Linked DNA regions of Oryctolagus cuniculus. The protein of the gene in region 2 interacts with the protein of the main gene of each other region in a pairwise test. Links are inferred from orthologs where the notes say so. Each region holds a gene or a part of one and is shown on either strand. Other genes may lie near its edges.

Region 1 (5,732 bases), on a different chromosome or scaffold from region 2:
GATTTTGTGGGCCTGGATGACCCCCAGCCTGGATGTTCCCTGCCCCTGCTCCAAGGTCTCAGGTGGCCAGAGGAGAGGCAGAGGCCACCCCCTCCCCAAGACTAGGAACATGGGTGACCCAAACAGAGGAGTCGACAGTGCCTGAAGTCAAGTTCTCTAGCTTTCTGGAGCCTTGTGTTCCCCTGTGGAGGAGCAGCTCTGTGGCGGATACTGGTGTGTTTGTGCACTGATGGCCATGGGTCCTAGGTTGGTCCTAGCACCTTAGTATCATAGATTCCCATGGCACAGGGCCTGAGAGGAGAAGACAGCCAGCAGGATGTGCAAGTAGGCCCCTGTGTCTTGTTGGGCAGCAGGGTCTTCCACACCAACTGTGTCTTAGGACGTATTCACCAAGAGGTTATACCATCGGAGGCCCACTTTTTTTTTTTTTTTTTTTATTTGACAGGTAGTTATACATAGTGAGAGAGAGAGACTGAGAGAAAGGTCTTCTGAGTAAAGGCGTACACTCCCCAAATGGCCGCTATGGCCGGCGCTGCACCGATCTGAAGGCGGGAGCCAGGTGCTTCCTCCTGGTCTCCCATATGAGTGCAGGGCCCAAGGACTTGGGCCATCCTCCACTGCCTTCCTGGGCCACAGCAGAGAGCTGGACTGGAAGAAGAGCAACCGGGACTAGAACCCGGTGCCCATATGGGATTCCGGTGCCACAGGCGGAGGATTGACCAAGTGAGCCACGGCACTGGCCCAAGGCCCGCTTTTAAATTAAATTTTTAAAATTTATTTAACTTCTTTGAAAGGCAGAGACGCAGAGATCTCCCAGTGCTGGTTCACTCCAAATTCCCACAACTGCCGGGGATGGGCCTGACCAAAACCAGGGGTCAGGAGCTCCGTGCAGATGTCCCATGAGGGTGGCGGAGACCCAAGTTCTATGGCCACCCTCTGCTGCCTTCTAGGATACGTATTAGCAAGAGGCTGGGATTGGCAGTGGAGCCAGGACTGGAACTCAAGATGCAAGCGTCCCAAACAGCATCTGTACGGCTGCACCCAGCCTCTCCCCACGAGGCCCCCTTTGAACCCTCCTCCTCCTGACCCTTGATGGGCAGTTCTTTTTGAACTGAACCGTGCAGAGCCATCATCTGTTCCACTCCACCCCCGACACACACACACACAGTCTCTCCATCAGCTGAGAAGCCTGCTGTTTTCTCTAGGGAGCGAAAGCTTCCAGGCTGCTCTGATGCAGGATGCTGGCGTCCCAAGTGGCAACCGAACCCACAGCACCAAGACACCTGCCCAGCCTTAAGGTTTTGAAATCTTGTCTACTGAAACGCTAGCGCCCCTAGAAAGGACACCTTCTGCTTTTCCCACTGAGCCAGTGATGAGCTGTGTGCCCAGCCGCGCCTGTGGGGTGGGCCTTGGAGGCAGGTGGGGAACAGCCACGCCCGGGGGTGGGCGAGACCCTGCACGTGTCTGACCACCTGTGACGGGCAGCGCTCAGCAGGCTAGAGTCTGGGCAGATGGCAGCGGTCTGAGAGGTTGACTTCCTCTTCGCTCTGTCCAGGGTGGTATGAGACCTCGACCGCTGGGCTGGGTCTGTCTAGTTCCTGTCCCCAGCACCAGACACACAGCGCTCCTCCCTCCACCCTTCGGGGGTCAGTGCTACTCCCTATGTCTTTTGAAAGAGATCTAAAGAATTCTTTCACATTCCAGGGAGTGACTAGTTAGCACGCTGTGCTCTCTCAGTTGTTCTTTATTTGTTTCATTATCGTTTTAAAAACGGGGAAACTGAGATCAGACGTTAAAGAACGGAGCTGCTGCCCACAAAGACGGTGCATGAGCGCACACACCACCTCCATCTTTCCATCATCTTGGCACTCCAGGGACATTCGTAGTCTGCCGTCGCTCGTCATCTTAATTTTCCTTAAAAGCAGTCGGAAGGGAACGGCGATGATGCTTTTGTGCTTGGCAAAGTGGTAACCTGTCGGTGGTGAAAATGAGGAAGGGCTTCTTGCTGTGGGAAAGCACTGGGAGATTCCGTTTCCGAATTCCCCATCCACATGTGCTGCCTGAGCAGGTGCAGAGAGGCAGCTTTGCAGAGCAGAGGGGCTGGGAGAGGGAGGGCTCCTCAGCTTGCCTCCCGCTGCCTGGTGTGAGCTGTGGTCCTTCCCGGTGACAGCCGTGACAGCGGGTGCATTCCATGCCACCCAGCTGCGAGACACTTCTGCCTGAGGCAGGCACACTCCACAGTTTCCCTACCAAATATAGACTAATAAAAGCAATGCTGCAGCTTCTTCCTTATTCCCCAGTTGGACAGCCCAGGCGTCCAGAATGTTTGGTAAACATTCTGTATTGTATTTTTATGAGAAGTACAGGAATGGTAAATAGGCAGACCGTCGGGATTTTTGTTTGTGTTTTGTTTCTAAGCACCAGGGTATGTGAGGGTCAGCATGGTCTCCTTCTCTGTCTTCTTTCTCATGGGTGCTCCAGGTGCTGGGAAAGTCAGGCACTACAAAAAGTTCATGGGAACATGGAATTCAAGCCTAAGTTTATCTTGGGGCAAAGAGATTCTAGGATCCGTATGTACATAGTTTCATCGTTCATATGTTCCATGAGCTTTTTCAGGACTCCCTTGTATGTGTGGATTTGCAGATTTTTTGCCCCAGGTAAACTTACCTTTTAGTACCATTTTTCTCAGGGACGTTTTGAGGTTCGCTTTACTGTAGCTCTGCTGGTGGCCTCTCTGTTGACTGCCACCTCCCAGCAGCACAGGCTGGATCCAGTTGGCCCCTTGATCACGGCCATAAATGGAGCAGCTGTGACAGGCTCCCAGGTGACGCTGAGGCTGCCAGCCAGGGGCTGCCCTGGGGGCCCCTCTCCATCACTTCACATTGAGTGGGTATTTCACCTGGAAAACAGTCGTGGAACCGTGGGGGTGTGCATTTGGCACAGCCGCTAGGACGCTCACGTTCCAAGTCGGAGTGTGGGGTTTGAGTCCTGACTGTACGTCCACTTCTAGCTTCCTGCACCCTGGGATGCAGCAGGTGATGTGGCTCAAGTACTTGGGCCCCTACCCCCCACGCGGGAGACCCAGACTGAGTTCCAGGCTCCTGGCTGCAGCCTGGCCCAGCCCCAGCTGCCGGAAGCATTTGGGGAGTGAACCAGTGGGTGGGAGATGGATCTCTCTCCCTCTTGCTCTGCTTTTTAAAGAAGTAAGCCCAAGCCCGACGCTCTGTGTCCTGATCTTCTCACTGACGGCTCTGGTCTGGCCCGCTGTCTTTCTAGGATTGTCTCAAAGCCTGCCAGGAGCAGATCGAGGCCGTGCTGCTCAACAGCCTGCAGCAGTTCCGTCAGGAGCAGCGCGACGGATCCAAGTCGGAGGATGAACTGGACCAAGCCAGCACCCCTACAGACGTGCGGGACATCGACCTGTGAGGATGCCAGGCGGGCCGAGCGAGAGAGGCGTGTCGTCATCTGCACTCTCCTCTCTGGTTATGTTTTGTTCTTTGTGTTTTAGGATGAAACTTAAAAAAAAAATCTGCCCCCACGTAGATCATATTTAAAGATCTGTTAGAAGTGAGAGAAAAAGGTCCTATCCAAACAATAATTAAAAGCGTGTGGTGCCTATTCAAAGTACAACATAAGGGAATCCCCTGTATATGCGAACAGTTGTTGTTTGATTATGTTAAAAGTGATAGTAAAATGCTTACCGGAAACCCTGCAGAGTAGCTAGACAATATGTACGCCTGCAATATGGGAACCAATTAGAAGAGACTCTTTGTCATGTTATGAACTAGTGCATACACACCCCTTTTTGTAGTGGCATTTCAAGGAACTGTGTAGGCCATTTATGGAATGATTAGATTGCCAAGCAATGAACTCAACAAGGAATTCGAAATAAGGAGGGGGGGCATGATGGGGAGGGAGTACCAAAAAAAACTTGCTGTGATTGAACCACGTTGGATGGAGAAGTGCCTCCAGTCTCCACCAGCTGTGGCAGCACGTGGCTGGTTGGACAGGGGGTGCTGGGTGGTAACCCCACCTCTCTTGCCACACTCGGCACTTCTCCTTCCACACGTGGCTCATCCCAGACTCCGCCGTATCATCTGGGAGAGAAATGCAGCTATCGGGCCCTAACCAAAACTCTTTGGGACATGGAAACAGAGGGTGGGATCTGGAATGGGATCTTTTCTCCTGCTGTTTGAGAGAGGGTACAGCGACCGTGGCATCCCGTATTAGGAAAAAACTGATCTTTTGGTGCTGATTGGCATGTCTGGTCCACAGTTGAGCATTGTTATAAACCATTCCATTCTTAAAGCACTTTGAAAATTTGTTCCCGAGGGGTAGATGGGATGGTTTATGCAAATCAAGCTGACTCCTCCCCTCTTCTCTCTGGCCCCTCCCCATCCTGCCCCCAGTCTTGAGTTCTCCGGTACCCACCCTTTCCGCTGGCATTCCCATCACGACATTCCTCGGAAAAGTCTGAACAAAGCCCTGTTAGCACGTGGATGGCGCGGAGGGCTCCTCCGCAGCTCCAGCTTCTCTCGACGGGGAGGGCAGGCGTCCTCGCGGACGGCTGGACCTCGGGTGTGGCGTGCGGCTCCCTTAGTTTCACTGCAAAGTCGTATTCAGCGTACTTGAATTTTCTGTTTCCTCTCCACTTCTTCGAGGCATTCAGTTAGCAGAGAGGTTGGAGCGACAACTTTTTTTTTTTTTTTTGCACAATTGTCATTGACAGGTAATGAAGCTATTTGTTACAATATTTGCTTTTTTTAAGTAAAAAAAAAAATCAGAACAGGGCTACCTTGAAGAATTATTTTATACACAGATTCTGCCTTGTTTCGTAGTGTGAGGGTTGAAGATGGAGAAAAATCTAAGGGTCTCTTATTTTCATTTTATTTTGTTCAGTTTTTTATTATTTTTTTTGCGCTGCTAAGAAGCTGAGATCGTTCATCCTTACTCACATTAACAGTACCTAGCTGTAATGTTTCACCAAGTGTGCTGCTATTTTATAAACATTTTTATAATATATTATTTTACTGCTTAAGTTCCAAGTCCTGAAGTAGATGGTTAAGATATGAGTTCTTCGTACTGGAAAAGCCCTCCCATCCTTTGTTCCTTCCGGTAGCATATTCATGGTTAGTGGGTTTTGTTTCTTTCTTTCTTTTTTTTTTTTTTTTCCTCTGATCACATTCTTCAAAGACAGTGCATTCTTTACCTCAGGTTTACTGGACAAAATCAATAACTACAAAAGACAACGACTTTCTTACCTCACAGCCGAACACTTTCTGCTTTGGGAGCAAGTCCCCAGGAGGGCGAGGCGAGGTCGGGTGGGGAGGAGGACTCGCCAGGCCCCGCACCCAGGGGCCTGCCCTTGCTCACAGGCCATCGGGCTCCCTTTCTGACTCCGGTATCCTCCTCATGATGGAAAAACAATGCATTGAACCAAGAGACCCCCCCCCCCCCCAAGGCAGACCTTGAACTCAAGCTTGGACCCAGCGGCATGGGCGCGGGAGTTGTAGGCGTCAGGAAGGAAGCGGGAGGGCATTGCAGCAGGCGCGGGGCTCGCGGGCGGCCGTCTCCCCTCTGTCTCGCTCCTGTGCACAGACCCCCACCCCCTCCCCCGTCATCTCTGCAGCTGTCCCAGGTCTTAGGCCTGCAGCTTGCAGCGTGTGTGGTGCTCAGACCGGGGTGAGGCAAGCAGTAGGCCAGCCAGGTCCTCGGCGAGGCTGGACCGCGAG
Region 2 (6,371 bases):
CCACCGCCCCTCTTTCTAGCAATTCCCTTGTGTCCAGGCACTGCTGGTGGGGGAGGGGAGATTTAGCTAAATGGGCTTCTAGGCTGTAGGATACTGGTCAGATTCTAGTAATTCCTAGGGGTGGCCACCCCAGACATTTGGAGAAGGCAGCTCAGCGTCTCTGCATTCTCCAAACACACGCCTTCTCCTCAGATCTGCAAGAACAGGAGCTCCGCATGCCCCATGTGTGGAGAGAAGCTCCTTAGGCATTCAGATGAAGCCCTGAAAATTCTGGGGGGCGTGGGACTCTTCTTCAGCTTTACTGAGGTACAGTCTCCCGTTCCCTCAAGTACACCCCTTCTCTGCAGGTCTGACCCTCTCAGAACTGAACCGTGCCTTCGTGGCTCCTCTTGTCCCTACAGATCCTTGGTGTCTGGCTAGCGATGAGATTCCGGAATCAGAAGGATCCGCGCGCCAACCCCAGTGCCTTCCTGTGAGACTCTGGCCCCTTCTGCCTGCTCTCCTGCGTTTTCTTTTTCCCTTAGGGAAAATCCAGGGTCTGCTGCCCCTTTTTGTTTGAGAAAAAGGAAGGGCCCTTTGCTACATCCCCTGAGAACAACTCAACAGTGAGGCTTCAGGGCTTGACAGACTTGGGTGCAGCCAGACTGCAGGCTAGAAAGAAAGCTTTCTGTCTGCCCAAGTGGATGCAGGCAGCTCCAGGGAGTGCATGGGGCGGGGCTGTTTCCCCTCTTCACCTTCCCACATGCTGGGCTCTGGAGGTCAATCAGGGGCAGAGCCAAGGAGAAAACCACCAAGAACGCCTAAACAGGACCCAGTTTGAGCCATTTCAGTGAATATAAAAATAAAAGCCATTTCAATTCCACGTTTGTGAGTGCAGGGGCTCTGTGTGGCTGCCCAGGCCCTGGGTCTAACTTCAGGACACTCTTTAAGGGGCTAAGGGAAGTCCCTTCTTCCACATGGTTTCTCCAGATCTCCCAGTGACAAAGCCAATCAGAGAAAGAAACATTAAAAAAAAAAAAGACCTTATTTCTTTGTCTTATTTGTTTTCCTGTATAAAAAAGGACCCCAGTATCAAGGTAGGAAAGGGGGAAAGACGGGGCATACCCCTTAGTGTAGAGAAACAGGGGGCAGGAAGATAGGCCTCGAAAGGAGGGGTGGGAAGGGAATGTCATCAAGGTAGCAAAATATTCTCTGTAAAAAGTCGGAGTCTGCCCGGCCGCAGAGACGAGGCAGAGCGGTTTTCTCTGTGGGGTTCTCGCCACCCTAGTGTCCAGAAGAAGGGCGTGGCTGGCGGTGTCCACGGCTCACTCTGGGCCGCCTTCTTCCTTGTGGAGGTAAGAGTGCTGCAGGGCTCTGCAGGCAGAGATCCGCTTGTGTGGGCTGAAAGTCAGCATTTCCTAGGGGGTAGAGGCCAAGGTCAGAAAACCGTGGAGCACAAAGACTTCTCTCCCTCCCCTGACTGTCCCCAACACGACCTGGGGATGGATTCTCTATGTTGTGTATCCCTCTCTGCACCTGGCCACTCCCAACAGCAATAAGAACTGCTCCTCAACCACCACGGGCTGGGGCCGGACATACTGCCGTCTCTCAGCCCAGTCTCGCCCCATACCCACGCCCCACGCCCGCACGTACCAGCAGCAGCTGCGCTCCGGACTCCTCCAGCTCCGGCACCACCGACTGCACTGGGCGGGGCCCTCTTGGGGAGAAGGCCGCTCGGGGGAGCGACACATCTCGGGGCCAGTCGTCTTCCGGAGGCAGCCCGATCAGGCTAGGGAGACACGAAAGCTCTGTCACAGGGGTCCTTCTCCAGCTCCCGTCCCCAGGCAGAGCCAGTGGGTTAACTCCGAGTTCAGCAGAGAGAGGACTCAGAATGGAAAATTCTCTGCCCCCTGGCTGGTCACTTACTCAAAGATTTTGCCCAGCTGGTCGGCTTCGGAGTTTCCACAGAAGAGAGGCCTAGAGCGAGAAGGAATACAAGGTGGCAGTCACTTTCAGAGACAGCGGTGGCATGAGTCCTGCTTAGTGGGACTTAGAGGGTGTGGGGAATAAAGGCATGTGAAGTCTCTGATTCCGTCTCAGAGCTGGTTACGGGCAAGATGGTGAACAGCACCCAAGTACAAAAATGGCCAAGGCATGCATGTGGCTCCTGCACAAGGCGGGGGACTCAGGTTGTGCAGGGAACTTGGGTCCCATACTTTCGACGAAACATTTCTGCAAAGATACAGCCAGCGCTCCACATGTCCACAGGCGTGGCATATGTAGACTGCAGAAGAACCTCAGGAGCACGGTACCAGAGCGTCACAACCTAAGGGAAACAGCGAGAGTAGGTGAGGGCCCCCAGGGCTTCCGGGAAGCACCAGTGCCTGATGGAAGGACAAAGTATGATTTCTCAGCTGCTATGGGCAATCCTTCTCCTACCCCCAACCAGAGCCCATTTTTGGCTACCACATCTTTCTACTGACCACAGGTGTAAGCGCCATCTGGTAGCTGTAGATTCTAGCCAGGCCGAAGTCAGCCAGCTTGACCGTCCCGCTGCTCGTCACCAGAATATTCTCTGGCTTCAGGTCTCGGTGGACGATGCAATTGGCATGAAGGAAATCCAGGCCTCTAAGAAACTGGCGCATCAGATCCTGATTTGCAAGGGAAAAAAAACAGACACACAAGAAACCAGGCATTAGGCCTGAAATGCCCAGGGCTTCTGCTAGAAGGTCCCAACCCACCTCCCCGTGTCCGCCCCCGCCCTTTACCTTGATGGTCTCTGCCGGCAGGCCTGGTGGGGGTGCCTTGTCCAGATACGTCCTTAGGTCTTGGTCGACGTGCTCAAACACCAGGGTCACCTTGATTTCCCGGTCGGTTCGGGAGGTGGCACAGACGTCCATCAGCCTGGCCAGAACAAATGGTCCCTCGCTAGCTAGGATCCTCTGACTCCCCTATGGCCTCCTCATCGTGTACCTCCCCAGGATCCCCACCTCTCTCCTGACCACCACAGCCCCCCTGCCTGGACTGCCCACTCCGGGCCCTGCACCTTCCTCTCACCGGACAACATTGGGGTGCTCAAAGGCCTCCAGCCGCCTGAGTAAAGCCACCTCGCGAACAGTGCTGATGGGAAGGCCCCCTCCAGCGCCTCCTCCATTGGGGACTCGCACGCTCTTGAGGGCCACAAAGTGGCCACTGTGGGGGTCCCGGGCCTTGTACACCGTCCCGTAGGCACCGACACCAATTTCAGCTACAGGCTCGTAGCGAGAGGTAGCCATTCTCAGATCAGGGTTGACCCTAGGAACACAGAGATTCCCTGCACCACATGCTCTCCCAGAGCTGGGATGGCCTGAGCTGGCAGCGGACAAAGTGATTCCGACACGGATGGCACAGACGGCCCCACCTGCACCCCGCGCCCTCCGCGACCGCCCGCCGCGCCGCGCCTCAGGTAACAATGACTCCAACAGCGACCCCTCCAGCCACGTGAGGCCGCACACTTTGTAAAAGCCCCCTTTCCTTTGGGAACATCGCATCCAGCACAAAGGAGATCACACACATACACACGCCTGGCGCCGAGGATCCCGCACCCCGGTCCCCGAAATTACACCTTCCCACGTCCACAAAAGCCCCACTTCTCGCCCGCGGGCGACCCTCCCATAAATCGCCTGCGAAGCGCACGCATGGGAAGCGGCTGTGGGGGGAGGGGGCGGCGGCGGGACTGGCCCCCAGTGGGGGCAGGGGCTGCACTTACCTCACTCCAGGCTGGGAGGTGCAGGGGCGGCCCGTTATCGGGGCCCCGGAGCTGGTTCCTCCAGCGCCATACACCCGAGCTCGGTCCTGGGCACCTGGACGCTCCGGGCCCGACCATAGACATAGGCCGCAGGCTAGAGAGGCCCCCTCACCCCCACCCTCACCATGTGACCAGCTGCCAAAGAGGCGCGCGGAAACTGGGAGGGCGGGGCGGGCGCCGGACGTTCGGGACACGTGACCGCCACCCATGCGCAGAGGGGCGGCCGAGCTGGGCTTGGACGGGGAGGGGGGCCCTGAGGGGAAAGGGGGCGGAGGGGGGATGCCAGCCACGTGACCTGTTGCTATCACACGTGACCGCTTGACATTGCTCTGAGGAGCAGAGGTGTGGTTACGCGGCGGGGCACGTGACTGGCTGCCATAACCTCAGCGCCAGGGAGGTGGGGTGGGAGAGGGGGAACGGGAGAGGGTGGAGTCCGAGGCGGTGCCATGGCAACCTGGGCCACCCGGCTCCCGACTCCACGCTGAGGGCAGAGCACCCGAGCTCCTGGCCGGCTGCTGGCCTCGCAGCCTCTCCACGCTGGCGGGAGGTGGGGGCAGGGGCGTCGGCGGTGGCAGGTGGGGCTGTCACCTTACGGCTCCGCGGCCGTGGGAAAACAATCGGATTTGTGTCTTTGTTTCACTCATTCATTCAACAAAATTGCATTGAGCGCTTGCTTGCAGTGTGTGTGTGGGGTTTTGTTTTGGTGTCTGCGTCACTGGCTCTTAGGAGTAGTGGTAAGGCTGTATATAAAATGTGGTCCTATAGGGAGTAGACAATGCCCATCTGAGGGCAGACTGGAATTAGAAGAGGGGTGGAAGGCAGGTTAATAGAGTAATCCAACAGGAATTGTGGCAAGGTAGTGCTTGCCTCTCTTCCCGGTCCGGGCTGCTTCCAGCCCTCTCTGGGAGTGTTACAATAGACTGGGTGCTGTCAGGCAGAGAAGTTATTGATGAGCAGGAGGCAGGAATATCGGCTTTGATCTTGAAGGTTCTTTTCAGCGTTGAGTTTACAAATCTGTGATATGTGGATGCGTGTGTGTGTGTGTGTGTGTGTGCTATGTGATATGTGTGTCCTTTGTCCTCAGATGAATAGGTAGAGGGATCACCATAACCATCACCAACATCCCAGGCCACTGCTATACACGAGATTGACTTCTGGCCTCCTGCCAACCTTGTAACTCACTCGGGGGCCTTGTGCTTTCTTTTCCCCAGACACCACCTTCTTAGCGCTCATCACCGCCCTGAACACAGCCTTTCCCAAATAGCCTCTGCCTACAGACACCTAGACACAGGTAGATTTCTTATCTTATTGGCTCCAACTTCTTTATCTCCCAGCTCTTTGAGGACATGGGAGTAAAGAGATTGAGCATCTTGTCTGTGAGAAATTGTCTAAAATCTGTAAGCATTTTATTACCCTATTTGCCACTCCTTGCACCCTAAGTTCTGTTCTCAACTCTGGTGGTCATGTAAGAGTTCCGACCTGAAGATGAGTTCACATGAGTCAGGGCAAGATGGAAGTATGTCAGTGCCCATTCCACTTCGGATACTTGCGACGCTTGGGCCCTGGCTACAAGGGCAGCTGGGACACCAGTAAGGAAAACTTCAAGATCCGAACGAAGAGGCTGGAGAGGTGAAGGTTTCAATGGCTACCAAGCAGGGGCTGGTTGGTCTGTGAGCCTTCCAGAGCCTGGGCTAAGTGGGAGTTTGTCGAGCTCTCTTGCCCATCAGCAGTCCTCACTTCGCCTCCATCTTCCACGGAAGCCCTCTGCGGGTCACTGGGCTGCGAACACAGCCATCTTTCCTGTATGGGCACTTGGGTCCCAGCACCTTTTCCTGGTTCATCCATTTGTCCATCCAAAACATTTGAATTCTTCCCAAGATCACGACTGTCTAGCACTTCCTATTGGGGAGTCTTAATTTGGCGGTCTGTCCCTGGCTCCATCCCCTCCCTTCTCCTGTTAATTACTCTTTGACTAATTAATCCTCTCCCAGTGTGTTTGACCCAGTGGGCTCCCCTGAAATCCCTTTTCCCTCAGCTTTGCAAAGGGGAGGAGATGGAGAAAGGACATAAGTGCAAGGCAGAAAAAACACGTGTGGATTGATTCGCAGGGCCAAGGCTCCCACAAAAACAAAGGGCTAACCGGGAGAGCTTCCCGGTAGTAGGGGTGAGGGCAGGAGACTAGCAGGCAAGAAGAGACTCCCATCCCTTTAGCACTCCCACCTCCCTGGCTCACTCACCCCCTCACACATCACCATCCAACTGCTTCTCACAGGCAGTTCTGTCAGCTTCCACTCCTGATAGACTCGCCTCTCTTGCACAGCACCACACCGGCTCACACCAAGCACACTTGCCAGCCTTTTGTGTGCAAGTGTTTACTGCCTGCGCCCATGCCTTTGGCCACTCACCTCGGACCCCCGGGCAGCTCTTTGCACACGGCTCTTGGTACACCTGCATCCCCTAGGCACTCATCATCCATCCTATACACACACACACACACACACACACACCTATTCTCCGACCCCGGCACACACTCCCCTTCCCTGGCCACTCCCCTCCCTCCACCCTCGCGGGGCCGGCATACTCGCCCCCGCCCCTAGGGACACCT
Region 3 (4,422 bases), on a different chromosome or scaffold from region 2:
TTACATAATGCACATATATATACAGATGAATGAATGCTATAGGCTTATTCCTCTGAAACATTTTTAGTTATGCATCATTTCTGATTTCACTGATAATGTACAAACTATACAGCAAAACATTTACTATCTAATGTAAAATCATGTAGGAGGTAAATATGTATGTTAATTTTACAGTTATATTTATATTACACTCTAAATTTTAGTCTGCCTCTATAACATTAACTTAAAAGGTGAAAAGCTGTGAACCATTAATTCAAGATAAGTCATTTGTTTTCGTCGTTTTATAGAGTATGCCTGACTTGTTTTACTTTGTCCTCTAATCTCCAAGTTTGTCTCGGATTATCAGATTACATTTGGTTTATGAGCAGACACATGTGACAGAAAAAACAGGAGCCTCTTACAAGAGAATTACGTTGTTTCTTATTTTCTCCCCTAAAACATTACTCCAACCTCCCCCCCACACACACACACAAAACAGGTGACTACCTAACAAATATTTTTAAACCTAGATTATGGTGCATGGGCAACAAGGAGAATAAAACTTTATAAGGCATTCAAGTTTAATTCTGCTCATAAATCACTTAACCAGCTAGATTCTCATGTTGCAGTAGAAATCGATCATTGATTTTGCCCTCAGTGTAGATATTATTATTTTGCCGCGTGCTCTCACGTCTGGAGAGTAAGATGGAATTTAATTTAATCTGAATAAGACTGGGAGGAGGTGGGTGACCTGCGTAGCATAAGAGGAGGAAGCCGACCCCTGGGGCTGGTCGCACCCTTGCTTTTGATCCAGGTGTAAGTGCGTGTCTCCTGGCAGCGGCCTAGCCGCCCCGCCGGCACCCTCGCCCTGACCGCTCTTCCCTCTCGCGCAGGTCATGATGATGGGCAGCGCCCGCGTGGCCGAGCTGCTGCTGCTCCACGGCGCCGAGCCCAACTGCGCCGACCCCGCCACCCTCAGCCGACCGGTGCACGACGCCGCCCGGGAGGGCTTCTTGGACACGCTGGTGGCGCTGCACCGGGCCGGGGCGCGGCTGGACGTGCGCGACGCCGGGGGCCGCCTGCCCGTGGACCTGGCTGAGGAGCGGGGCCACCGCGACGTCGCTCGGTACCTGCGCGCCGCCGCGGGGGACTGAGGGCGGCGGCGGGCGGCCGCCCACGACCAAGGGTTCTCCCTCGCCAGTCCCCCATCCCTTCCCGCTTTCAAAGAGGGCTGCAAACGTGGAGCGGCACTAAGCCCGCGAACTTTCCGGAGCGGCTCAAGCCCCAGGAGGAGGAGGAGATCAAACGCGTTTGTAAACTCTGGATCCGACCCTCGGCACTCACCTGGAAGCCAGACGCGGACAGCTGGCGCAGGTGGGCTTCCTGCCCGATTTAGGAGCTGGTGACGCTGCAGGGGTCGTCTGCTTTGCGGGACTCTCTGCCGGAAAGTGCACGTGACTTCCTGGAGCGACCCCAGGAGCCTGGAGTTCTCCACACAGCTGATCCTGGGGGCTGGAGGAAGGGGGCAGCATTTGGCGATTCGGAGGGGGCGGATGTCCCGCAGGCCCCCACTGACCTCGGTGGAGCTCCAGCTTCGGACGTCAGGGCCTGGAGGCTGCAGAACGCGGGCCACACAGGGGTCGAGGTTGGCTTCACGAAGTGCCCAGCCTACCTTGGGTGATGCGGTGCAAGGCGCGCCACCAGCAGAGCAAAATTCTCTCCAAGTCCAGATAAAGGACGGGAGCGACAGCAGACTAGCCCCCAAATTCTGAAACCCCTGGCTCGGCTCCCCACGACGCAGAGGAGCGAGTTTTTGAAAAGGTGCTGGCTCCTGCGCTTCGCCCGTGGAGGGCGGGACTCTCATGGCGTTCCGAGGCAGAGCACAGCAAACCGCGGGCCGACCGCAGTGAGCGTTAACTGCAGCGGGTGCTGTAACGACTTGCTGCTTCCGCGTTTCTCAGCCTACAGACTTCCCTGTGAATCGCCTCTTGGAAAGGTTCCGTGATGTTTTCCACTTTTGCATTGTTCTTCTGTAACTGCCTCATTTAATGCGGATACTTTAAAGAACATGTCGGCGGAGGTGAGGAAGAACTCCAACTCTAAAATGAAGTTATGGCAGCATGTCAAACTCCCGGTGCTACTGCTTAGATTGCTTTCATTCTTAACCTATTTATTTCCTTGTGAAAATGTTGATCGTTTCCTTTATTCCTTTATGAAGAGTGTCTCAGGGGGTCAAACTATGAACTATTCCAAAGGTCTTTGAGAGATAGATGTCCTTGTCCAGGAAATTATCTTGGAATATTTCCCAAAAGGTTGTTGAAAAAGTAGATGGTGTCTAAAACTGCTGAAATGTTCTGTTGGTAGCTCCTGGGGTTTCTTAATATCTGCTGAACAAACTAATGGTGCACTCCCTTGAGATTTCATTGCCATTGTTCCTTGGCTCGCTATAGCATTGGAACAATGGTTAATTCACTGTTTTAATAAAGAATAAACAACAGAGATTGAACTCAAAGATATGAGTGATTTGACTAAGAAATGTGTTTACATGGATTTGCCACTACTGAGAATGTACAAAGACCTGAGGAGCTCACTTCTCTCACCCTTTGTAATCATTATTGGTAAGTGATTCCAACAGTAATTTATAAAAACTGGCTACACATACCTCGGAAAGTTAAATGTAAGATTTATGCATGTCTTATGCTTCTAAATGTCCAGCATACTATATGTACATATAAAGAGAGAAAAGGAAACAACAAACTAATTTGAGAGTAGATTTATAAAAAGGATTACCTTTGAGCTGAATACAAAAATCTTTACTTCCCCATCAATTACTCATTACCCCAAACTGATATATTATTGGGACAAGTTAGTTGAACGAAGACCAGACTATGTCTTACTGGGGGAAAGATGTTTATTAACATATAATTTATACTAAGCATGCTTCAAAATACACTTCTCCATGTAACAGTTAAACCTGTGAGATAGGTATTGTTTCCCAGATGAGGACAAAAAGGCAGAGAAATACCCAACAACTTGCCAGAGGTAACAGAATACTCATTCCTGGATATGCAAAGTTAGACTCTCTGGTTCCCAAGATGTGGAGTTCATTTAGTAAACAGTAGAAGGTATTTGTGAGGTGTTCTGTTTTGTGGGCAAAAATCATTTTTCTGGAGGCTGGCAAGTCCAGAGGCTACATCTATTGGGGACCTCGCTGGAGGATCCTAACATGGGGGAAGGCATCAGAGGGCCAGGATGCAGAGAGACAATCTCCAGGCCTCAAGCCTTTTCACAGCTGGTGCCAGGTTCAAGAGGGTGGAGCCCTCATGACCTAAACACCTCCCATCGGGCCCCAGCTCCCAATGCTGTTGCACTGGGGACTGTTTCCAACATATACTTTTCGGGCAGCACATTTAAAACACAGCAGTGGCCCTTCTCATATATACACTAGCCTACATCTAGCCAATTCTAATGTGTTTTGAGGCCTCCTGAGCATGCTATAGTCTTCCCCCATGCCCTGGCTGAAAGTTTTCTCTTGGTCCCTTTACTCCCACATGATTACATGATCGGGAGGGTCATCTTTTCTGTATATTGCTCAAGCAATACATTTTCAAGAAAATCTTTCAATAACCTGAGCATTTGTTGACTGAATAACTAACCTAAATTACATACTGACAGTAATCTAAGTACCCCTCCTCTATGATTCCCTACATGTTCCTCCAGCATATAAGGATGGCTGATTGTCTTTCTTTCCTGTGATACTGTAAACTCATCCATGGCCAAAACTAAATTTTGCTGGTTTTGTAGCACCTGTGCCTAACACAGTGTCTGGGACACAGACTTAATAGATATAAAAATAACCATAAAAAGAAACATTTCACATTATTATTTGGCTTCAAAGGAAAAAAATGATATAAATATCCATGGTTACTTATAGAAGATCAAGTTTAAAGAGAGAATGATAAATTACTTATATGCAAAGGCTAATTTGCCTCTGTTTCTTTGAGATACTGTTTTCATCAAAGAATTATTTTTTAAAAAATTATAAAAGTCACATTAGAAATGTAAAGTGGTTTATTTCTGGGAAAGTTAGTGATGAGGAATTTCATTTTGATTTTTTCTAATATCAAAATGCAGGCTGCTAAGGAGTAATATTATTACACAGATCCAAATCATTCTTCATGTGAGGCTTTTTAATTGCATTTTAAAAACGCTTTCGCAAGCATGTCACATTTGCAGAACATTAGAAGAGAAAGAATTTGAGCATAGTTCAGACAGCTCAATGCATACTTTCTGAAGCTACAATCCTGCATCTCTCACATAATTGTTTCTAGTGTGGGATTTTCAAGTATTTTAAGTACATAGTGGAGAAAAGGTAATGTACCATTACCAGTAATAGCTAAGATTGTGGTTGATATTAATTTAACTATAGAGAAACTACAAAAG

What was found.
Region 1: the proteins of CDK4 (region 2) and CCND2 interact in binary tests that used the Homo sapiens proteins (3 or more experiments, as listed by UniProt). The link is inferred for Oryctolagus cuniculus from reciprocal best matches to the Homo sapiens genes CDK4 and CCND2.
Region 3: the proteins of CDK4 (region 2) and CDKN2B interact in binary tests that used the Homo sapiens proteins (3 or more experiments, as listed by UniProt). The link is inferred for Oryctolagus cuniculus from reciprocal best matches to the Homo sapiens genes CDK4 and CDKN2B.

Annotation. Positions count from the first base shown.
Region 1 is NC_091440.1:105,135,946-105,141,677, reverse strand, and holds part of CCND2 (G1/S-specific cyclin-D2), read left to right. Parts: intron 1-3,276; coding exon 3,277-3,426; 3' UTR 3,427-5,732. UniProt on the Homo sapiens protein: Regulatory component of the cyclin D2-CDK4 (DC) complex that phosphorylates and inhibits members of the retinoblastoma (RB) protein family including RB1 and regulates the cell-cycle during G(1)/S transition.
Region 2 is NC_091442.1:60,320,529-60,326,899, forward strand, and holds CDK4 (cyclin-dependent kinase 4), read right to left. Parts: upstream 3,981-6,371; 5' UTR 3,976-3,980; coding exon 3,728-3,975; intron 3,274-3,727; coding exon 3,037-3,273; intron 2,884-3,036; coding exon 2,748-2,883; intron 2,631-2,747; coding exon 2,463-2,630; intron 2,306-2,462; coding exon 2,196-2,305; intron 1,957-2,195; coding exon 1,906-1,956; intron 1,769-1,905; coding exon 1,633-1,768; intron 1,398-1,632; coding exon 1,305-1,397; 3' UTR 1,027-1,304; downstream 1-1,026. Other genes in the region: TSPAN31 (tetraspanin-31), read left to right, coding at 193-306, 402-476.
Region 3 is NC_091432.1:185,072,204-185,076,625, reverse strand, and holds the end of CDKN2B (cyclin-dependent kinase 4 inhibitor B), read left to right. Parts: intron 1-872; coding exon 873-1,133; 3' UTR 1,134-2,491; downstream 2,492-4,422. UniProt on the Homo sapiens protein: Interacts strongly with CDK4 and CDK6. Potent inhibitor. Potential effector of TGF-beta induced cell cycle arrest.